3 linked regions of the Arabidopsis thaliana genome follow. The protein of the gene in region 3 interacts with the protein of the main gene of each other region in a biochemical or structural test. Each region holds a gene or a part of one and is shown on either strand. Other genes may lie near its edges.

Region 1 (7,869 bases), on a different chromosome or scaffold from region 3:
AGTAATACCGTCACTACATCACGAGCCGTTCATGAAATTCCGGTAGTAGAATTCATCCGTAATTTCAACAAAACTCCATATATTTTGGATGATCTAGAGAGAGCACCTTTGTGGACAATGTTATTTTTTGGTGGTAATCATAAATAAGAAACTTCCTATCCAATAATTTAACATCAAAAAGGCCCATCTAATAAAAGTATACTTAAAAGCCCACAAAAAGAATCCAAGTACACGTGTTGATGTTTGTAGAAAAGTCTACTGGAATTAATGAGCTGATTAAAAAAAAGGAGCAGCTAATTAAGAATAAGACCCACAGAGAGAAAAGAAATGAGAAACCCAGAAGGATCTGGAAGAAGAGGAGGATCCTTTTCATTTTTTCTTTCTTGGATAAACTCTCTCCTATCTTTTTTTTTTTCTTTTCTTCTTCTACTTTTCTAATTTCTTACGACAATTCTCCTCCTTTCGTACATAAAACAAAGAAACCCTCTCTTTTTCTCATCTTCTTCAATTTTCAAAACTCAAAATCCTTCTTCATCGTCGCTACATTTTTCTGTGCTTCTCGGTTTCTGCTATCGAACAACAAGACTCAAAAGGTTTGCTAATTTCTGTTACTTTTATCGTTTCTTTAAAACGGCTGATTTATGGTTAGGGTTTCAAGATGGAACGCAGATTCTTCTTTCGATTTTGAATCCGACCAAACAAAAGCTCATATCTTTGAATCGATGACTTTGTTGTAAACTTTTACGATTTCGTCTACTTTGATAAATGTTCTGGTTTGCGATTGACGATTTCAAAACCCTTTTCATTTCTCTTCTATAAAGTCATTTTCTTTTATTGACATTTTGATATTATTGGGTTTTTCAGTGTCTTGATGATTGGGTTTTATTCTACGCTTTGATGTTCCTTATTCGCTCTTAGGGGTTCGATGAACTTCATTAGCTGACAGATGTATATTAGTCTCTTCAACGAGATTTACTCATTTAGCTACAAGTTCTTATTCTGTGTTATTTTATTTTTTTTAATTATTCTTTGTGGTTATTTCTAGGTAGAAAGAATCGGACATGGAAGAAGCAGTTGTAACGAGGTATTGGTGTCATATGTGTTCTCAAACTGTGAATCCAGTCATGGAAGCTGAGATCAAATGTCCCTTTTGTCAAAGTGGGTTTGTTGAAGAAATGGAAGATGACGACGATCATGATTCTTCTGATCCGGCTGATGTTAGAGCAAACAACTCTCTTTGGGCGCCTATCTTGATGGAACTTATGAATGATCCTGTGCGTCGTAGGAGAAACCAGAGTGTTGAGTCTGTTGAAGATAATCAAAACGAGGTACAGACCGAGAACAATGAAGACGATGGAGAAAATGATTTGGATTGGCAGCTTCAAGAGATTCTCAGGAGAAGGAGAAGACATTCCGCTGCTGTTTTGCAGTTGCTTCAGGGGATACGAGCAGGGTTGTCTGTAGAATCTGAGAGTACTGGTAATGGAGGTAATAATCCGGGACGGGTGATCTTGATCAATACCTCCAATCAGACTATCACGGTTCAAAACTCTGCTGATATGGATTCTGTACCTGCTGGTTCTTTAGGTGACTATTTCATTGGTCCTGGATTTGAAATGTTGCTTCAACGTCTAGCTGAGAATGATCCCAACAGATATGGAACACCTCCTGCTAAAAAAGAAGCTGTCGAGGCTTTGGCTACTGTGAAAATCGAAGAGACTCTGCAATGTTCGGTTTGTTTAGATGATTTTGAGATTGGAACTGAGGCAAAGCTGATGCCCTGTACGCACAAGTTTCATAGTGACTGCTTGTTACCATGGCTTGAGCTTCACAGTTCATGCCCGGTTTGCAGATATCAGTTACCTGCAGATGAAGCCAAGACTGATTCAGTAACAACAACGAGCGATAACAATGGAAGCAGTAGTGCTTCTGCTACAACCAGCCATGGAGCTGAGAACAGCGATGGAAACCGGCGCCAAGAAGAAGAAGAAGAAGAAGAAGAGGAGGAGGAGGAGGAGAACGAGAACAATGACGGAAGCGGATTCTCGATCCCGTGGCCGTTTAGCACCTTGTTCTCCTCGTCGCAAGATAGCAATGCACCAACGGATTCTAGTTAAGACATGTTCCCTGAGCAACATAAGCTTTTTGGTGTGATCATGAAATCTCGGTTCTACCTAAATCTGATCTTTTGTCTGTACATAAGTTTCTCAGATTTGGTTGAATGCTACATCTTTGGAAAACAAATATCTTTCAGTTTGTGTTTTTTTAATTGTTTTTGAGCAAATCTTTTGCCGGATTCTGTAAGTCGCTTGTGTGTTTTTTGTTGTCAACCAAAGCCACTTTTGCAACTTAGTTTGTTAAATTAATGCCTTAATGGTAAAATAACAAGATTGGTGGCTGTAGTACGAATTGTGTTGGTAATAAATTATAAATTTAAACATAAAAAGTAATTTAACATTCATCACCTTTGTTGTATGAAATGGAATTGTATAATATTGTATGCCTAATTACTTAGACCGACTCGTTTAATATGTCGTCATCCAAAACAAAATATGATGTCTTTTACTAAACTTAATGAAGTGATGCTTTTTCCTTGTGTTAATCCATGATTGCATTACCATGTAATCTTTTGTTTACGCGTAAACATTAATTAGAATTTATAAAAGCTAGAGTTCACATGTGTAAAATGCGACCAAAGTTACCAACTTTATGCGCTATTAACGAACCTTTTGACATTAACGAACTTAACTTTGATATAGTATATATACTAATATATTAACGTTTCACCAAATCTCCTTGTATATATATAAGTATTGTAGTATCAACTTATTACATTATCTCTCAGATTAGTCATAATCCAAAAGAAGAAGTAATGAATCGTCAGGTTTTATCCCTAATCACTTTGATTATTCTCTTGGTCTCCGCGTACAACACGACTATGGGCCGAACTCTGCCGAGTAAGTGACCGTCTTTGATCATACAAATACAATCACGCATAAACAAAACTCATATTCAGTTCTTAATCTCTTTTTTTATTATTATTATAAATTAAGGGGAAGGAAATGGAGCACAACAATTTGATAATCTAAAAGCTGGTGTCAGACGAAGTGAATCGGCACGTACTCGTCAGAAAGGACCCGGACACTGATGAGTGATGATCTCTAACAAGTTTTAGTTGGCACCTTCATGCAATAATTGATAATCTACTGCTTTGTAATAAGTCCGTCGTTGTGGCGATTCATAGTCTCTACTCGATTCATATTTGTGAACGTGTCTTGAGTTATAGTCTTACATATAGATCCAACAAAAAAACGTATGCTAACACATTCTGTAATAGAACACGTGGCAGACAAAGAGTGGACGGTTCCCTAAAATTCCAGTAAAGACCGTAACATTAAAATCTAATAAGCTGAATTCCCATAATTACCCTCATCCGACAAAGAGAGGCAAGGGTAGTTTAGGAAAGTATATAGAGGTAATAACGTGTCCTTAAGCTCCACAGATCCAAAGCGCAGATCACAAATCTCATCCCCAGAGAGAGAACCCAGAGAGCGATATTGAAAATCAAAACTCTCTCCTTTATATATAATCCCAATTTACAAATCTCTTTCCCTCTCTAAAAATTTCTTATCTTTGTATAAAAAGCCTTCTCCTTTTTCAAATCATTCACCTTCCTTTCGCCTTTTCGGGGGAATTTCTTCCAATCTGTTGGGTTTACGAAACCCTAGATTTCGAAATTCCGGATTGCTAACTAGCGAAAGGTCTGATTTTGTTTCGTACCCTTTGTTCCTAATGGATTCAATTCCACGGATTTTATCTGAATTGAGTTTCTTCGTAGTTGCTTGTTACGAATTGGATCTCATGTTCTGAAGTTGTGTGTTTCATAGCTTTTCGTTGTTTGATTGTGAAACAATGTTTCTAGATTTCAATTATCAAAACTGGTTTTTAGATAACCAGATTTGGTCAATGAAATTGTAAAGCTTGAAAACAATTTTGTTTCGTGGATGCTTGTTGGTTTGGATCGACATGAGTTTCTGTTTTGCCCTATTTAAGACGAGATTTATAGCTGATGTGTGTGTGTTTACGTTGATTCTTATGTTAGAGAATGGCTGATCAAGGAACGGAAGGGAGCCAGCCAGTTGACCTTACTAAACATCCTTCAGGGATTGTTCCTACTCTTCAGTGAGTTCTCTCTTTTGTGTCTCTGTTTTAAGATTCTGAGTTTGTGCTTTTGTGAATCACAAGATCTTACCTTTTTCTTTTTTGGTTTGTTTCAGAAATATTGTCTCAACAGTGAACTTAGACTGCAAGCTTGATCTTAAAGCCATAGCTTTGCAAGCTAGGAATGCTGAATATAACCCCAAGGTTTTGCTTTCTTTGTGATATTCGTGTTTTAGTAATCGATCATTTTGTTTGGTCTCCACCACTTTGGTTTGTATTTTCGGATTTGGTTTTAATCTGTGTTTTATGTTCCAGCGTTTCGCTGCTGTAATCATGAGGATCAGAGAGCCAAAGACCACAGCGTTAATTTTTGCTTCTGGGAAAATGGTATGTTTTCCTTTGTCACTTTTTCTCTTATGGCCTAATCTTCCATGTCCTTGTTTTGACGTGGCATCTATGCTGTCCAATATTAGGTGTGTACCGGAGCTAAAAGTGAACATCTTTCAAAGCTTGCTGCAAGAAAGGTAAACTAGCTCATCTCAATACTGTCTGATGTTCTTCTTCTAGCATCACTGTAGTTAGAAACTTGTTACAGCTCTAGTAGGTATTTGTTCTCTGTTATATTAAAGAATTCCTTTTTGTTGTTCAGTATGCTCGGATTGTTCAAAAGCTTGGCTTTCCTGCAAAGTTCAAGGTACTCATATGTCTCTCTCTGGTCCTGATCCAGCACACACTGTGTTATTCATTTTTATCTCAATCAACAATTCGTGTGTATTTTTATCGGAAGGAAAAATTACGTATAAAGTCTAGTAATAAAATTGCTGATTACATTTTGCAGGATTTTAAGATACAGAACATTGTAGGCTCATGTGATGTCAAATTCCCCATTAGGCTTGAAGGTCTTGCATACTCTCATAGTGCTTTCTCAAGTGTAAGTGATCTCAAGCATTGTGATCATATATACTTGTAACATGGGTGTTAATCGGTCTGATGATTCATACCTCTCTCATCATTGATGCCAGTACGAGCCTGAGCTATTTCCAGGATTGATATATAGGATGAAACTTCCAAAGATTGTACTGCTTATTTTTGTGTCAGGAAAGATTGTTATAACTGGAGCCAAGGTAATAATTGAACTTCTCTCAAATGATTAAAATTGTTTCCATGAAAATGCTTCTGTCATCTTATGAAATCCCGAATCAGATGAGAGAAGAGACTTATACCGCATTTGAGAATATCTACCCAGTTCTTAGAGAATTCAGGAAGGTCCAGCAATAATAGTATGTAAGTTCAACTTTCTTTATCTCCATTTACATTTTATACCCCTTAATCAATCAACAGTTTGATTATGACTATTTCGATTCGAAAGCAGAGCCTACCATATTGAAGGCAAAAACCATGTTCACGTTTGGATTGCCATGAACTAGAGATCTCGGGTGTTGGCAGGCGCTTGGTGGGGTTATATTCCTTGGACAAGAACTTGAAATGATTCAGATTCAAAACCAGAAATTGTAAATAGAGAATGGAGATGCCAATAAATCTCTTTTCTTTTTGTTCTAAAAATGTCTTCCAAGTAATCTTGTTTCATGTTCTGTTTGTTTCAGTGAACAATACCCAATCATTAAAGAGTTACTTAGTTCTTTGCTAACTGTTCTGTAATAAGACACCAAGTCTGTTTGCCCTTTAATATACTCTTTCAAGCAATTTGCCGCTCTGGTTTGTCAAATGTTTGGATCATAAGCTTTCATCTTTCAGTAGATAATAATCTTCGTACACATTAAGTGAGATAGTCCTATTATAACATGTTTTCGTTATCTTGAAATTCATTAAAGTTAATCGGTAGTGTTACATTAGACGAATTGATAACAAAGACATGCGATTACATTAGTCCTAGTGTAAACAGTAAACTACAGATAGTACGGCTAGTAATTCACAGTCGATTTGATTGCATCCAATATCTGCATCAAGCAAGAACACATGATATGTTAGAAACTGCGTTTTGGGTCGGAATAGAGGAATGATAAGAGAAGAGGAACTTGCCTTGTTCTTGGTGGGCATGTAGAATGGTTCAAACACAAGAGGAAATGGAGTATCCAGACCACAAACTCTGCTTACTGGAGCTTCTAACTGCATTTTAAATGACAGTTAAGAAACGGAGAACCAATAAAGAGTAGTCACTTGTAACGGTGATGATTTGAGCTTTCTTTTTACTAACCTTCAAAAAGCAACGTTCCAGAATTGTTGCAGAGATCTCTGCTCCAAAACCTCCTGTTACAGGAGCTTCATGGCTTATCTGCAACCCCAAGCACAAGCAAAAGCAATCTATAAGATCGACCAGACAAATCAAAATCCGAAGTTGTCAATCAAGATTGCTTAAATCTTACAAGAAGTCTGCCAGTCTTTTTAACTGAAGCCTCAACGGTTTCTTTGTCCCAAGGAAGCAGTGTCTTGAGATCTATCAGTTCACATGATATTCCTTCCTGCATCAACTCAAGACCTTAGTTAATATTACTGCGAACCATTCATCATTGAGTTGAAAGATAAAGCTATAAACCTTTTCCGCGTCCAGACAAGCTTGTTCCATAACGGTAAGCTGAGCTCCCCATCCAACCAGTGTAATGTCATTGCCTTCTCTTATAACCTGCTCATAACTCCTAATAGTGAGATTCTCGTCTCCGAAAATAGACGGCCAAAAATGAACTTATGATACCTCTGCTTCTGATAAAGGTATCATATAGTCATGCTCAGGGACTTCTTCTACTGCTTGACGATACAGCCACTGAAGGAAATATCAACGTTTCAAGACTTAAGAAGAGGTGCTAAGAAGCTGATTTGGTTGGTAAAAAAGAAATGGAAGTACCTTTGGTTCGAAGAAAACAACGGGATTTGGATCACGGATACATGACAACAACAGTCCCTTTGCTTCTCGTGGACTCCGAGGGATAACAACCTTAATACCAGGGACATGGCAAAAGAAAGCTTCAGGGGATTGTGAATGGTAATGTCCACCATGACCAACTGCTCCATATGGTGCTCTTATCGTAAGTCCTATCAAGATCCATATAAACCATAATGAGTAAAATAGATTACTAATAACAAATCAAGAAAAAGCGTAATGATGAAAGATTTACCTCCACAGTTGAATTGGTTACCACTTCGGTATCTGAACTTTGCAGCTTCATTAACAATCTATAAATCACAAAACCGTTCAGAAATATGGCGACGGAAAGCATATGCTTGTTTAAAGAGAGAACATTTACCTGATCAAAAGCAGGATATATATAATCTGCAAACTGAATCTCTACAATTGCTCGATTACCCTGTCAAAATGGAACACCAAACTGAATCTCACAACTGTACAGTTCAAAACATGAACACAAACAAGAACTCACCATTGCTGCTAGACCAATGCCAAATCCAACAATGCCCTGAATCCAGTCAAAACTTAAATGAATGACTCATCAAGAAACACTACCTTAAGAAGTGAAAACAGAAGCAGGTCAAAGAATGATACCTGCTCACAAAGAGGAGTATTGAAGACACGGTTTTTCCCGAATCGTTCAGCTAAACCTGTTGTACAGCGAAAGACTCCACCAAAGCCAACGTCTTCCCCAAAGACATAAGACCTCCCACAACAAAAACTTAAAGTCAGACTCTAAAACGACATCATACATATTTGAAGCAACTATATGTGTATACTAATTAACT
Region 2 (8,680 bases), on a different chromosome or scaffold from region 3:
GTCAGAACTTATATTCATTTTAACGTTTTAATTGATCTATCGTAGTAGTGAACCATCTCTAAAATAAAAATTCAATACTAATTGAAAATCTAAAACCAATAGATATTAAGAAATCATTTGTTAAATTAACTTACATCTATACATCTATATATGCGACTACTGTCTAGTTTATCTGGAATCCACAATATGTTTTTTGTTTCTCCAAAAACTTTTTGATAACTTTAAAAATCTAGTAAATGCAACATTTTCTAACCTTTTAAAGTATATTTGAGGGTTAAACCGAGAATTAAGACTTACAAGTCTTGGGATAATCACTCTATAAGAAACACTTTATTGTGGTTTGGTTCACTTTTAAACCTTACTAGATATTTTCTAAAAGTTAGTATACATAAAAGTTTACAAATTGTATCTATCTATAAAAAAAATTATTTTATAGTTTACAATTGTTATTAAGTAACGTCTTGCCAAACCCGTCCCGCCAACCCGTCCCGTAAAAAACTATTTATTTTATTAATATTGATCTTATTTATGATATGTTTATGAATTATTGTCTAAATATTTTGTAATTTTGTAGTAATTAAATGCTATCAAATATCTCTGCGGTTTGATGATTATAATCGAATTATTATAGTCATGGAGAAAAGCAATATCAAAAATAATAATTTTGTAATAATTAAATGATATTAAATATTTTGCAAGTTTTATTTTAGTAACTAATCGTGTAGTTAATGTTGAGAGATTTAGGGAAGATTGTTAAATGTCAAATATTTAATTATTCAAAGATTTTTTTTTCTAATTATCAAAAACAAACATTAAAATCTAGTGGCAGTTATTGTAAATAATTCCCAACTATAGGATTTATTTCACAAAATGGCTGCTATATAGATTTTTTAGATAAAACCGATCAAACTCTTTTTCTTTTCAATTATTAAACTCTTTGATGGGTTAAGAAACATAAAAACAAAAAGGAAAACAGAGGAGAAGAATCGAGGATCCAAAAGCCCATCTAAGGTGAGAGAAGAGGGGTCCAAACTGAGATTGGAACAAAATCGGTTTTAGGGTTTCAGAAAGGCCCAAATTAGATTCGAGTAGAGCAGTCCCACAGTGACTCCGACATGACAACACTTGAGTTACACAAGACCACCACGTCTCTATACTCTAAGTCTATGCCGTACGTCAAAGGCACCAACTCTTTCATCACATATATTATTAATCAATTTATACAAAACTCCAAATAATTCACGGGACCAATACTGAATCGAAACTAAACGAATTTGTTAAAATCGGACTTTGTAGATGCAACCGAAACAGAGTAAGTACATGAAAATACGTACAACTGCATGTGATTTATTGTGAAATTCTATGGGAAAAAATTGAATTGACATATTATGCAAAATGCCCGTATGTTACATAAACTTTTATTTTTGTGTGTGTGACTTAACATGAGTGTATAAATGGAACTTTTTTTGTTTTATTTTGTTTCATATAAGAATTTACGATGTAGGAAAAAAATTAGAAATGAAAAGAGGTGGCAAAAGAAAAAGAAGTGGGAGAAAATAGATGTCAAGGAATATTGATATTCTTCTTTTCTCCGATACATTACTTTTCCTTCCATTATCTTCTAGTAATAATTTAGGCTTTTGCTGCCAAATAACTCACAACCAAAAAAGCCCACCGAGGAAGATGGTTGTTAGGGTTTTTCTCTGTTTTATACTTTCCTTGGGCTATCTTACGTACGTAAAATATTTCTTTATATATTTGTCTAGTTTCATCTTCAATCTGAAAATATTATTCAAGTTTCAGGTACGATTCATCAATCTTTGTATTGTAAATTGACTCTTCTACAAAAAAAAAAATGAAAATAGAAATAAGAACCAATAACTAAACTTAAAGAATTAAATATGCTAATTTCAATTCCAATGTGCCAACAATGAACGCAATTATTTGATCTTAGACTAAAATAATCACTCGAGGAACTCGTTTCAAAAGAAAGAAACCAATCAAATCATTGCCTTCCAACTACGGATACTGAGTTTTTTTAACTCATTATAACACGTGAGATCGTCACTATCTCACGCATTTTTCTTTTTGGGTGGGTAATTCACTATCTCACGGATTACATAAATGTTTATGGATTATGACGATTGGCTGCATTGGAAGATGTATAGCCCAAGAAAACATATTTAATCCAGTATGATAGCCTTGTGATGCTCTATAATTTAAAGCATGGTTTTATATATAACTGTGACGTAAATATCAAGGTCTAAAAGCATTGTCATTTTATTTTTATTTCGTATAAATGAAAACTTTAGTCTAAAACACCCGGTCATGTAAAAGTTAAAGGAAAAAGAAAAGAATGATAGCTGATTAATTATGGCAATGTCGTACTATACTACGTCGAGAACTATTCATGATTAGATATTCATCGGTATGATAAATCATATATATGTGATGTGCCTAGTGCAGAAACCCAAACTATTATTTATTTATCTACTCCTTTGGGCTTTGACGTGCAAGTAAATTCTTAGATGTTGTTTTCGAAGTTTATGGGTAGGCAAACCAAAATCTGGAATGAGATATAGAAGAAACAAAAAGAATTTCGAGAATGAAAATTATGTCTCATTTTAAATTCAAATGAACTATAATTCATAATAAGAACATATGTTAAATGATGTTTTTACAACTTGATATGGATTTAAATTACATAAAAGAGAAAACACAACTTTTACCTACTCCTTCTCACAACTCATTCATTTTTGGTGTAAAGTTGATATATGTGGTGGACAAGTGAAATTTGGCAAAACTTGGTTTAACAATTGGCTAACCCTATGAAACAAATTAGGCCTTTGGGTAGAGCTTTCTTTTATCAAGTACCAACTTCGAGGTTATATATATGCTCTGCTTTTATATATTTTGGCATGATTCTAGGACTCTTTTGGATCCTTCGATTGATATTTGTAGACATAGCAAAATTGGCAGTGCAAAGATAAGGTTGCTGTGTAAGTCTTGATAGAATTTAGCAAATATAGAGACTACTCATCTCGTCTATTCTCTCTCTATAAGTTAAAATTGATGGGTTTGATATCAACAAGACATTACAATATTTCTAAAACATAAGAATATCTATACATTAGCCATCAATTAGCAACAAATTTTTTAATAATCAATTTACCATCATAATTTTGTAGCAAGTTGGTGAAGGAAGACTCTTTTCTTGGCAGCCAAACATCACATTAATCCCATTTTAACAATAAAGTGATTAAAAACTAAAAGAACTGAATAAAATAAAAACAAAAGAAATGAATGAAGCCTTTGGCTTTGCTTTTTCTCTTTTTGATTCTCTCCACTTTATTTTTCTTGTTGCTACTGCTAAAAAAAGCATCTTCTTCTTCCTTTTTTCATTCTTAAGAGTCTTTTGCTTTTCCTTGTTCGACTCTCTCTTTTCACTTATTTAGCTTTTGCTTCTGATTGGAACTAAACTCAATTCTCTCCTTCTTCCTCCTCTTTGCGTGTGGTTTATCTTCCTCTAATTAATCTATTGATCTCAATTCTCAACCTTTTTGTTAATTTCAATTTCCTTACCCCTCTCTGCGTTCTGGGTTTCCGAGTCTCGATTTCTGGGATTTCTTGCTTCTCACATGAATCTGTTTCGCAACCTAACTTATTCATCGGAGTGATATCGATATTCTTCTCAAATTTTGAAGCTTTTCGTTTCGAATTGACAATTCATGGGGATCTGTCATGGAAAACCCGTCGAGCAACAATCAAAAAGCCTCCCAGTTTCCGGCGAAACTAATGAAGCTCCGACGAATTCACAGCCACCGGCGAAATCCTCTGGCTTTCCGTTTTATAGCCCGAGTCCTGTACCTAGCTTATTCAAATCCTCACCATCTGTATCTTCTAGCGTGAGCTCAACGCCTCTTCGTATCTTCAAGAGACCTTTCCCTCCTCCTTCTCCTGCTAAGCACATACGAGCTTTCCTCGCGCGTCGCTATGGCTCTGTCAAGCCTAATGAGGTTTCGATTCCCGAAGGTAAAGAATGTGAGATCGGTCTCGATAAGAGTTTTGGCTTTTCAAAACAGTTTGCTTCACACTATGAGATTGATGGTGAGGTGGGTCGTGGACATTTTGGATATACTTGCTCTGCTAAGGGTAAAAAAGGTAGCTTGAAAGGTCAAGAAGTTGCTGTTAAAGTTATTCCTAAATCAAAGGTTCGATCTTTGAAACTGAAAATCAATTTCTCTTAATTCTGTATTCGTTATGTTGTTTTGAAATATATGACAATGATTTCGAATTCTAGTTTTATCGCCATGTGTTTATAGAAGTATACAGCTTGTTTCTCGACCCCGAGTCATTGCTTAGTGTTGAATGGTTTTGACTGCAGATGACAACTGCAATTGCGATTGAGGATGTTAGTAGAGAAGTGAAGATGTTGCGGGCTTTGACTGGTCATAAGAACCTAGTCCAGTTCTATGACGCGTTTGAAGATGATGAAAATGTTTATATTGTCATGGAGTAAGTATACATTTCTCAGTGAGATGTCTTAAGATCATTTGATTTTCAATTCCAGGATTGCAATAAATATATTGTAATCTCCTTTTACCAGATTATGCAAAGGTGGTGAACTCTTGGACAAAATACTTCAAAGGTAATTGCTAATCACACATGGCTCTGTATCTGATTGATTTTCTCTTCTGAATCGTGCTTTGACTGGTTGAGCTTGATCTAATTAGGGGTGGAAAATACTCCGAAGATGATGCTAAAAAAGTTATGGTTCAGATTCTCAGTGTTGTGGCTTACTGTCATCTACAAGGTGTGGTTCACCGTGACCTTAAACCCGAGGTACTTTATAATCCATGGTGATGTTTAATTTCTAGATTGTTCTCTCATTGTTTTTTTTTGTAAATCATTTTGGCTTTTGTTGACACTTCACTTTCTAGGTCCCATCACATTAAGCAGTCTTTGTACACATAGAAATGAGTTCCACTAACTTATGCAGAGTGATAATGACGGTTATGTTTCTTTCTATTTGTTTGTTTACCTTTCACAGAACTTTCTTTTCTCTACCAAGGATGAGACTTCTCCTCTGAAAGCAATTGATTTTGGTCTTTCTGACTATGTCAAGCCAGGTTAGAGATGTTGAAATTGACTCAAGATTTCTCATATCAAACTCATCTTCATGTTAAATAGAAAATTTGACGGTGTTTTGCAATTCTGCAGACGAGAGGTTGAATGATATTGTAGGGAGTGCTTACTATGTGGCCCCGGAAGTTTTACACCGTACATATGGAACAGAAGCTGACATGTGGAGTATAGGAGTGATTGCTTATATTCTTCTCTGTGGCAGTCGACCCTTTTGGGCCCGTACTGAATCCGGAATCTTTCGAGCTGTACTAAAGGCAGAACCGAATTTTGAAGAAGCTCCTTGGCCTTCTCTATCACCCGAAGCTGTAGATTTTGTGAAGAGATTGCTAAACAAAGATTACCGTAAAAGACTAACTGCGGCCCAGGCTTTGTGTAAGTATAATATCTTTGATCTCTATAACAGGTTTAACACATCATTATTTTGTTTTCATGGTTCTGCACTTCTTATATTCTGAACATCTGAGTAATCAATTGTCTTTTTCCTCAGGTCATCCCTGGCTGGTTGGCTCGCATGAACTAAAGATTCCATCTGATATGATCATATACAAGCTTGTAAAAGTGTACATAATGTCAACTTCATTGAGAAAATCGGCTTTAGCGGTGAGTTTGATTCCACAGAAGCTGTGACATATATACTACTTACTTAACAATTTCAATTGTTGAGTTCTTTGAATGAAAACTTTATGATTAATGGGTTTTGTTTTTCATGGTTTTAGGCTCTTGCCAAAACATTAACTGTACCGCAGTTAGCGTATCTTCGGGAGCAATTCACATTGTTGGGGCCAAGCAAAAATGGATATATCTCGATGCAGAATTACAAAACAGTGAGTTGTTTTTCCATGATTCCATCAACCTCTTCAGTTTTCTTTTGCGATCTTCTGTGATTATTGAACTTTCCTCTACAAATCTCAGGCAATCCTAAAGAGTTCAACAGATGCTATGAAGGATTCTCGAGTGTTTGATTTTGTTCACATGGTAAGAAAGCTATAAATATAAGGACTATAAGCTTAATCATTAGGTTTGGTGGTTTAACGTTGTAATCTCTGTTGGGATGCAGATAAGTTGTCTTCAATACAAGAAACTAGACTTTGAAGAGTTTTGTGCTTCAGCATTAAGCGTTTATCAGCTCGAAGCAATGGAGACATGGGAGCAACATGCACGGCGTGCTTACGAGTTGTTTGAGAAAGACGGGAATAGGCCCATCATGATTGAAGAACTTGCATCGGTATAAGTTTTACCCTTTTTAATTCACCTAGGGGCTAGAGAAGACTCGTGAAGAGCAAAAAACCTGGTCATGCTTGATCTTAAGCATCTGTATGTTTTAAATTGCAGGAACTCGGACTAGGGCCATCAGTGCCGGTGCACGTTGTTCTTCAGGATTGGATAAGACATTCTGATGGCAAACTTAGTTTCTTAGGGTTTGTCAGATTGCTACATGGCGTGTCTTCTCGGACCTTACAAAAAGCTTAGAGTAACGCCATTGTTAGATGAGAAAAGATGCAACTAGGTGGAGTAGATCTGGTTTCTTCTTTCCTCTCCACTTCTTGATAGTTTTTTTAGTTTTCTTTTTCTATTCATGGTTAAGCTTCTGAGTCAAAGATTCGATAATTATGTCTGTGAGTGTATTTGTGTGTGGTGGGAAGGAAAGGTTTATGAAGAAGAGGAATGTACAGAATGAGACATATCCGATTGGTGTTTTTAATCCAGTGATGTTTACGTGTGAAGCACTCTTTTAATGGCAGCCGGAAAAAACAATTTGTCTTTGTGCCATCGTTGGATCAGAGCAATGATACGACACGTGATTGTGTCTCACATTGTCAGAGACAACCACGTGACTTTGACCTTAAGATCTCTGATCTCATCTTAATCTCTACCTAACCGTCGCAAAGATTCTTTCTTTCTCTCTTCTTACTCTGATCTAGACACTACAACAGTTTCATTAATGGCGACAATGAGCAAACCCCATAAGTTAAAAGCCACTCCAGGATCTCAAAGACTTGTTCTGTTATGTATAGTCGCAGTTGCATTTCTCCTCCTTTTCACTTCGGTGATCTCCACCGGCGGATTGGCTTTACCGTATCGGACAACCCTAATTGGTTATTTTGTGAGGTCAACTCGAAACAAGACACAGCATAGTTTGTCGGACAAGTACTTGTACTGGGGAAACAGAATCGATTGTCCTGGTAAGAACTGTGAGACCTGTGCCGGTTTGGGTCACCAAGAATCTAGCCTTAGATGTGCCCTTGAAGAAGCCATGTTTCTGAACAGGTAACTTTTGCAAAATCCACCAATATGTCAAACTTTTGAGATTTCTGATGAAGTTCTTGAAATGGCAATTAGCCTATCTGGTTCAATGAGATGGTTAGTTGAATAAATGATGCAGCTCTCTTGGTAAAGATGGTCACTGTAATTGCAATTTTCTTGTTGCAGGACTTTTGTAATGCCATCTCGGATGTGCATCAATCCAATACATAACAAGAAGGGTATACTTAATCGATCCAACAATGAAACTAGAGAGGAAAGGTGAGAGTTTCTTTAAACTACTTCAAAAACTTAGGTTTTGTTTTGTTTCCCACTTTTGAACACAAGAGGTCTCTCTCTCTCTCTCCTTTGTATGTTCTTAGTTGGGAAGTGAGCTCTTGTGCAATGGAATCATTGTATGATATTGATCTCATCTCTGAGAAAATACCTGTGATCTTGGATGACTCGGAAACATGGCACATAATGCTATCGACGAGTATGAAATTGAAAGAACGTGGGAGTGCGCATGTATATGGGGCAAACAGGCATGAGCTAAATGACTCTAGCGACTTTACAAATCTTTTGCTCATTAACCGAACCGCAAGCCCCCTTGCATGGTAAGCATTGCTGAGGAAATTGTGTTTCCAATAGATTGGGAAGTTGCTGCTCCTTGAGCATTATTTTCTTATCTTGTTTGTGTTAGGCATCATCATTATCAGATCATATATCTATCTTCATTGTAGGTTTGTTGAATGCAAGGATCGAGGTAATCGTAGCGACGTCATGCTTCCTTATTCATTTCTCCAGACTATGGCAGCATCAAGATTGAGAGATGCTGCAGAAAAGGTGAAGGAGTTGCACATAATCTAGCTTTCAGGAAAGAGTGACCAGATGGTAATGTACTGTTGACGCCTTATAGCTTATTTATGACCAGTTTTGGTTGAACAGATAAAAGCAAAACTTGGTGATTACGATGCAATCCATGTTCGTCGAGGTGACAAACTGAAAACAAGAAAAGACAGATTTCGCGTGGAAAGAAGCCAGTTTCCACATTTAGATAGAGACACACGGCCAGAATTCATCATTGGCAGAATTCAGAAACAAATCCCACCAGGACGGACTCTTTTTATCGGTTCTAATGAAAGAACCCCTGATTTCTTTTCACCTCTAGCTATCAGGTAAAACCATAATGTTTAGATTCAAGTTTTTAGTTATATATGTAGAATGTTCGTGTAAGACTCTTGTTACACTGCAGATACAAAGTGGCGTATTCATCGAATTTTAGTGAGATTTT
Region 3 (6,930 bases):
GAATTTTTTCCATGTATATTAGGTCTCTCTGGTCTATACATCTATATACATTGGTTTATACGTACATCGGTACATATACATACACAAATGAGACATTGTACGTTTAGTATACAGAAATGATTAGCATATCATTCGATAAATTCCCACCGTTTATATGTGTGGGTGTGTGTGCGCGACATAGACATATAAGTATATTATATAAGCAGCATTGATGTATGTTTGTATCATGATTAGGTCCACAAAAGTGTCAATACCATCATTAATGTCAATATAAATGGTAACACGTCCCCACCATATAATGCCTACAAATCTACATTAGGTGCACATACATAACAATTTGCGTATATGTGTGAGTTCTTGTCGATTCATTTAATTATTCTTCTATAAACTATTTCCAATAGATGGTAGTGATATATGATATCATGTCAACATTATTGGTAATTTTCTTTACAAAAAATGATTAAAGAAAACACACAAACTGCTAACTTTAGTATAAAATCATCACCCAAACTCTTCTTTAACAAACGTAATCATTTTCTTAAGAAGATTAGAAACACTAATCATACGATTTACTTTTTCTTTTTGTCAACATAATCATATGATTTTCTAAAATTATATTTTGAAGACTTTTTTTTGGTGTTTGGCCTCGAGTCATTTATATTTCTTTCTCTTTTGAGTGTGATTTAATAATCATGAGAAAAAAGTCCAACCAACTTTGAAATAGTGAGAAAGCTACTTGGACGTCTGTTTTAACTCCACGTGTCAAGCTTAGAACATTTAAAGGTTTTGCTTACAATTTTTATTTATTTGATCCAACCAACACCAACCCATCTCAGATATTTTCGCCAATCATAATCAGAGATCAAATTATAACGGTGAAGCTATTTTTAACTTGTATATTAAATAGTAAAATATACATGTTACACATCCGGATCCGTGGCGCAATGGTAGCGCGTCTGACTCCAGATCAGAAGGTTGCGTGTTCGATTCACGTCGGGTTCAATCCCCCGAACTATACACCCGGTTTCTTTTTTCGGTATGACATACCTATGTCTCCACTGCACGACGTCGTTCAGCGATATAACACTAAACGACGAGACATCTGAGCTAATTTAGTGAAACCACACGCAGTTTTTCTTTGCAAGCCTTAAACTTTTTCTTTCTTTCTTTCTGATACTGATACTGATAGTATTGAGAGACTGACTAAAAAGAAGAACTAGAATTACAAAGATAAAGTAACTGAAGGAGAAAATCTATTAATCAGCAGGCTCTTCAGGCTTCACAAAGAACTCTATATAAGCAATCCGACTCGGTGGCTGATACCCTGCGGATTCCACTTGTGGAGCTAAAGCTTTAGAAACTGAAACCAAGTGCTGAACTTTCAACATTCCTCCTCTTCCTATTGTTAGTTTGCTTCCCCTGTTTTCTCTCACTACGTTTCCCGGTATGTTTGCCGTTGTTGCTTTCAAAAACTTGTATTTGTACCTACAATCAACAATGAGAAGTTTAGCAAATGTATCTGGCTACTATTCTTGATTGGTAAATCAAGCGTAGGAGCGTGTGTTTTAACCATAAAGCTACGGTAGAGAAAGAATTGAGTTCATTGTTACCCGTAAGAGACTTCGGTATCACAATGAAAGGCAAGGAGAAGATCTGTGTTGGCATAATACATGAAGTCTATCTGCAAAGAGGATAGATCGAAATATGTTCCTTGATTCTTTCACATTAAGATAATATACATCACCAAGAAACAAGTGAGAAACAAGACCTGCAAGTCTCCATGTCCTTCTCCTCTAAAGATTACACAAGGGGGTTCCTTTTGAAGACTGATCTGTACACTTGAACCAGGCCATTCAAGATCATCTATTGCTTCCTTCAACGCCGCTGACTGATAGATACATTATCAATTACCATTTGAGAAAAAGCTCAGACTAACAATGTTAAACGAAAAACGATACTAAACTATGTTACTACCTTTACTGTAAAAGTAAGTGGCGCGATTCCCGCCTGCTCAAAGTTGTAGTCCCAAGTAACAGTTTCGGGAATTCTAGTTCTTATCTCAGAGTAGATGCAAGAGTTTAAGGTATCAACAGATCTAATCAAACACTCACACCAATCAGCTAATTACTCGTAATCCGTATATTCACAAAGCAAAGGATCATAGTACACATACTTGAGAAGAAGCTCCATATCAGGTCCTGGATACTTGATTTCTATAGTATTAGAATGTCCAGGTGATGAAAATGTGTTCAAGCAATCAACAAGAAGCCCTAAGCTGATTCCGAATCTCGGCCTACCTTGAGCTCCATACTCGTATTTCGTGAATAGCTACTCATATAACACATCAAACAGATTTCGGATTCAATCGAATTTTAGGGGTTTAGAAAATTTAAGATAAACTCAGAAATCGATACCTCGCGTTGAAGATAAACTTTGGCTTGAAGACAACCTGATTCTTCAACAATCAAAACTATTCCGTGTTCAGATAATTCTACTAAAGCATCCTGGAAACGGAGAAGTTTTCAGAAAATCAAAGAAGAACCCTAGATTGAATTTGGGGAGGATGGAGATAAAAACCTGGTGGCGTTTCCATCGGACGCAAGTGAGTGCATCGACCATTCCTTGAACATTATCGAGCTGGCAAATCAGGTCCGGTGTGTCTGGTTCAATCGCCGGCGACGAGGACGAACTCATTTCTCTCTCTCTCTCTCACTCTCCTTCCTCTGCTTTCCCGCCAGAAAATGTATGCCGACAATATAGCAATTAAATTGATTATTATTATATTTGTTTTAGCAGGCCCAGTTATTAATAAAGTTGATCTTTTTGGCCCACACACAAACTAAAAAGAAAAATAAAAGCCCATCTTTATGATATCGCGTTTATATCTGAGTCACAGAGAAATAAAAGGGTATGTTTGTAAATTTCAAATACTTCTCTTTCTTTATCCGTACGAAAATGGACGGTGTTACCGGCGGAGGAACGAATATCGGCGAGGCTGTGACGGCGCCACCACCGCGGAATCCGCATCCAGCGACTTTACTTAATGCGAACTCTTTACCGCCCCCTTTCCTTAGCAAGACGTATGACATGGTGGAAGATCCGGCGACGGACGCGATTGTCTCATGGAGTCCGACGAACAATAGCTTCATTGTTTGGGATCCACCGGAGTTTTCTCGTGATCTTCTACCTAAATACTTCAAACACAACAATTTCTCCAGCTTTGTTCGCCAGTTAAACACCTATGTAAGTATAAATTCTCTCGCGCCCTAATTTCTCCACCATTGATTTCTCTAATTGTACTGTGTATAGATTATGATTTCGTTGAATAATCTTAGTGCTTGATGTGTTTGATAAGATTTATATGATTCATGTGCCAATTTTGATGAACAGGGTTTTAGGAAAGTGGATCCAGATCGATGGGAATTTGCTAATGAAGGTTTCTTAAGAGGTCAAAAACATCTATTGAAGAAGATAAGCCGGAGAAAATCTGTTCAGGGACATGGTAGTAGTAGTAGTAATCCACAATCTCAGCAATTATCTCAGGGTCAAGGTTCAATGGCTGCATTATCTTCATGTGTTGAGGTTGGGAAATTTGGGTTAGAGGAAGAAGTTGAACAGCTTAAAAGAGACAAAAACGTGTTGATGCAGGAACTCGTTAAGTTACGCCAGCAGCAACAAACAACAGATAATAAACTTCAGGTTTTGGTTAAACATCTTCAGGTTATGGAGCAGAGGCAACAACAGATTATGTCTTTCCTTGCTAAAGCTGTACAGAATCCTACTTTCCTCTCTCAGTTTATACAGAAGCAGACTGATAGTAATATGCATGTAACCGAGGCCAATAAGAAGCGGAGACTCAGAGAGGATAGTACTGCTGCTACTGAGAGTAATAGTCATAGCCATAGCTTGGAAGCATCAGATGGACAGATAGTTAAGTATCAGCCACTTAGAAACGATTCAATGATGTGGAACATGATGAAAACAGATGATAAGTATCCGTTTCTTGACGGGTTCTCATCTCCAAACCAGGTATCAGGAGTCACTCTTCAAGAGGTACTACCCATAACTTCAGGACAGTCACAGGCATATGCATCTGTACCATCAGGACAGCCTTTATCATACTTACCCTCTACTTCAACTTCTCTCCCGGATACCATAATGCCAGAGACTTCCCAGATACCACAATTGACACGAGAGAGTATCAACGACTTCCCTACAGAAAACTTCATGGATACAGAGAAGAATGTTCCAGAGGCATTCATCTCTCCAAGCCCATTCCTTGATGGTGGTTCAGTCCCGATTCAGCTTGAGGGAATACCCGAAGACCCCGAGATTGATGAACTAATGAGTAACTTTGAATTCCTTGAAGAATATATGCCAGAAAGCCCAGTTTTTGGAGATGCAACTACACTAGAGAACAACAACAACAACAACAACAACAACAACAACAACAACAACAACAACAACAACAACAACACAAATGGTAGACATATGGATAAGCTTATAGAAGAATTGGGTCTTCTCACATCAGAAACAGAACACTAGTAAAGGATTATGTTTAGTATCCATTGTAAAGTCTTTCTCTACTAACATTATCGTTAGGACTCAGTAGTACGGTTGCAACTTTGTGCAGAAATCTTTCCTTGGATAATAGAAGAGTTGTATTTATTATTAAAAAGAAAATGCCATTTTTTCTAATTTATTGTAGAAAGTGACTACTTTGTCCAATCATATTTGTAGTCCTTTTTCGATAAGAAAAACAGAGTTGGAATTTTCCCGGGGAAGCTCTTTTCAATGGAGGTCCTTGCGAGCTCTTCATTATCCCCAATTTCTTTTACTAAGCCTAACAAAATAAACCCTAATTTCTCAATCCAGGTACTTTTCTTTCGTATAGTTGACTCCTTTTTAAGTTTCTCTCCTGCAATTCCCCAATTTGTGTCCGTTTAGCTGTGTAATAGAATTTTCAACCTTTGCAGGTGAAATTGTGGGTAAAACAACCTCCAAAGATTTCAAAAGCTAGCAAATTTAGTTATGCTCGTAGTCGTAGTAACATTTCAAGGAGCAATGCAGCAAACCCAGGAGTCGTGTTCGTCTGTAATAGATTTCTGTGTGTTATCGAAAGAAATGATCAGAGGAAATTATCTGGGAAGGTTATGATGAAATCTTCTGTTAATTTCAGACAGAATCTCTCTGTTGCATTAGTTCGGATCGTTTCTGTTCTGCTTGTCTCTTCCATTTCTGTTGTTACCACTGATTCACCACCATCATGTAAGTTCTGTTTTTTTTACATGTTGAGAAACCATATAAATTTCGGGGAATGCAATTTGATTTCATTTGTGTGGCTTTTTTTCTCTGTCTCTTTAGGGGGTCTTACTGAAGAGAATCTTCTCTTCCTCGAGGCTTGGAGAACAATTGATCGTGCTTATATTGATAAAACCTTTAATGGACAAAGCTGGTTTCGTTACAGAGAGACTGCTTTACGAAATGAGCCTATGAACACTCGAGAAGAGACATGTATGTGTGAATAGCTTTATTAACCTTTTACAAAATTAGTACAACTTGCTTCTAAATTTGGTGTTGGTTTGTGTTTAGACATGGCTATCAAGAAAATGGTGGCAACACTAGATGATCCTTTTACTCGATTCTTGGAGCCCGGAAAGTTCAAGAGTTTGCGGGTAAGATTTCCTGAAAATATACAGTTCTGAATTTAGCAAATAGACTGTATGTAAGATCTAGTAATTAAATGGTTTGGTTGAAGGCAGTCGGGGACTCAAGGGGCGGTTACGGGTGTTGGGCTGTCGATAGGTTACCCCACTGCATCAGATGGACCACCAGCTGGGCTTGTTGTTATATCAGCTGCTCCAGGAGGTCCTGCAAATAGGGCGGGGATATTACCTGGCGATGTTATTCAAGGAATTGATAATACAACCACAGAAACTCTTACCATATACGATGCTGCACAGATGTTGCAGTGAGTTACATTTCCATTTTTCATCATTCCTTAACTTTGAAAAATCTAAGTGTGACGAGTTAATGGTTCTGAAGTAAGAAATGATGATAATGCTTTGGTTGAAATGCAGGGGACCTGAAGGAAGTGCAGTGGAGCTAGCGATTCGCAGTGGACCTGAAACGAGACTCTTAACTTTGACGTATTTCTCTCATGCCTACATTTATCTTCGTTGTCACGTTCATTTGGTAACTACAATTGTTGTTATTTCAGGCGAGAGCGGGTTTCTGTGAATCCAGTGAAGTCAAGATTATGTGAACTTCCTGGTTCTGGGAGTAACTCCCCTAAGATTGGCTATATCAAGCTAACAACATTCAATCAAAATGCTTCTAGTATGTATTCTTTGGCATTACTGATTCCTTCTTACAAATTTATCTACTCTCTAGTTTATTATCTCTCAAAGTCTTAACACTTTTTTTGTAGGTGCGGTAAGGGAAGCTATTGAAACCTTGAGAGGCAACAATGTAAACGCATTCGTCTTGGACCTTCGAGACAATAGGTGATGATTTTTTGAGAACATAAACTCTTTTTTGCTTTTGCAACAGCCTTTCTTAAAAAAATTGTTCTTGCTGCAGTGGAGGTTCTTTCCCAGAAGGAATTGAGATTGCTAAATTTTGGTAATAACCTCATAAACCGTTACATATAACGAATTAGAAAATTTCAAGATCCACAGCTATCATAATAGAAACTTCAACATTTGCTATCCACAGGTTAGATAAAGGAGTGATTGTGTATATTTGCGATAGTCGAGGTGTTAGAGATATATATGATACTGATGGAAGCAATGCTATAGCAACCTCTGAGCCTCTTGCCGTTCTTGTATGAGCTTCCATCCTTCCTTTCCTCAAATCTAGTCCTTATTGTAATCTGTAAATGCCATGAAAGATTTCATTCTCACACAATCTTTCTCTTTTCCAGGTTAA

The links. Proteins that work in one complex are often made in the same cells at the same time.
Region 1: the proteins of HSF1 (region 3) and TBP2 form a complex in vitro, tested with the Arabidopsis thaliana proteins (2 studies listed by BioGRID).
Region 2: of the proteins of HSF1 (region 3) and CRK1, one has a biochemical effect on the other in vitro, tested with the Arabidopsis thaliana proteins (one study listed by BioGRID).

The regions. Positions count from the first base shown.
Region 1 is NC_003070.9:20,723,720-20,731,588, reverse strand, and holds TBP2 (TATA binding protein 2), read left to right. Parts: upstream 1-3,497; 5' UTR 3,498-3,761; intron 3,762-4,102; 5' UTR 4,103-4,105; coding exon 4,106-4,182; intron 4,183-4,277; coding exon 4,278-4,365; intron 4,366-4,476; coding exon 4,477-4,548; intron 4,549-4,634; coding exon 4,635-4,685; intron 4,686-4,810; coding exon 4,811-4,855; intron 4,856-4,999; coding exon 5,000-5,092; intron 5,093-5,183; coding exon 5,184-5,285; coding exon of another isoform or gene 5,286-5,315; exon of another isoform or gene 5,316-5,364; coding exon 5,365-5,439; 3' UTR 5,440-5,445; exon of another isoform or gene 5,446-5,533; 3' UTR 5,534-6,083; downstream 6,084-7,869. Other genes in the region: AT1G55530 (RING/U-box superfamily protein), read left to right, coding at 1,062-2,117; BCDH BETA1 (branched-chain alpha-keto acid decarboxylase E1 beta subunit), read right to left, coding at 6,084-6,119, 6,202-6,288, 6,377-6,454, 6,546-6,641, 6,716-6,802, 6,872-6,940, 7,022-7,209, 7,293-7,350 and 3 more. UniProt on the Arabidopsis thaliana protein: General transcription factor (GTF) that functions at the core of the DNA-binding multiprotein factor TFIID.
Region 2 is NC_003071.7:17,146,764-17,155,443, forward strand, and holds CRK1 (CDPK-related kinase 1), read left to right. Parts: upstream 1-3,331; 5' UTR 3,332-3,728; coding exon 3,729-4,211; intron 4,212-4,384; coding exon 4,385-4,515; intron 4,516-4,606; coding exon 4,607-4,648; intron 4,649-4,733; coding exon 4,734-4,842; intron 4,843-5,050; coding exon 5,051-5,129; intron 5,130-5,220; coding exon 5,221-5,517; intron 5,518-5,632; coding exon 5,633-5,745; intron 5,746-5,861; coding exon 5,862-5,969; intron 5,970-6,057; coding exon 6,058-6,120; intron 6,121-6,202; coding exon 6,203-6,370; intron 6,371-6,477; coding exon 6,478-6,615; 3' UTR 6,616-6,930; downstream 6,931-8,680. Other genes in the region: AT2G41150 (plant/protein), read left to right, coding at 7,088-7,413, 7,576-7,668, 7,770-8,003, 8,130-8,232, 8,335-8,564, 8,642-8,680. UniProt on the Arabidopsis thaliana protein: May play a role in signal transduction pathways that involve calcium as a second messenger. Serine/threonine kinase that phosphorylates histone H3.
Region 3 is NC_003075.7:9,867,584-9,874,513, reverse strand, and holds HSF1 (heat shock factor 1), read left to right. Parts: upstream 1-2,867; 5' UTR 2,868-2,910; coding exon 2,911-3,243; intron 3,244-3,390; coding exon 3,391-4,545; 3' UTR 4,546-4,696; downstream 4,697-6,930. Other genes in the region: AT4G17760 (PCNA domain-containing protein), read right to left, coding at 1,257-1,485, 1,611-1,681, 1,769-1,888, 1,975-2,095, 2,174-2,328, 2,415-2,504, 2,578-2,694; AT4G17740 (Peptidase S41 family protein), read left to right, coding at 4,795-4,875, 4,977-5,268, 5,365-5,514, 5,593-5,675, 5,763-5,971, 6,081-6,149, 6,221-6,339, 6,431-6,506 and 3 more. UniProt on the Arabidopsis thaliana protein: Transcriptional activator that specifically binds DNA sequence 5'-AGAAnnTTCT-3' known as heat shock promoter elements (HSE).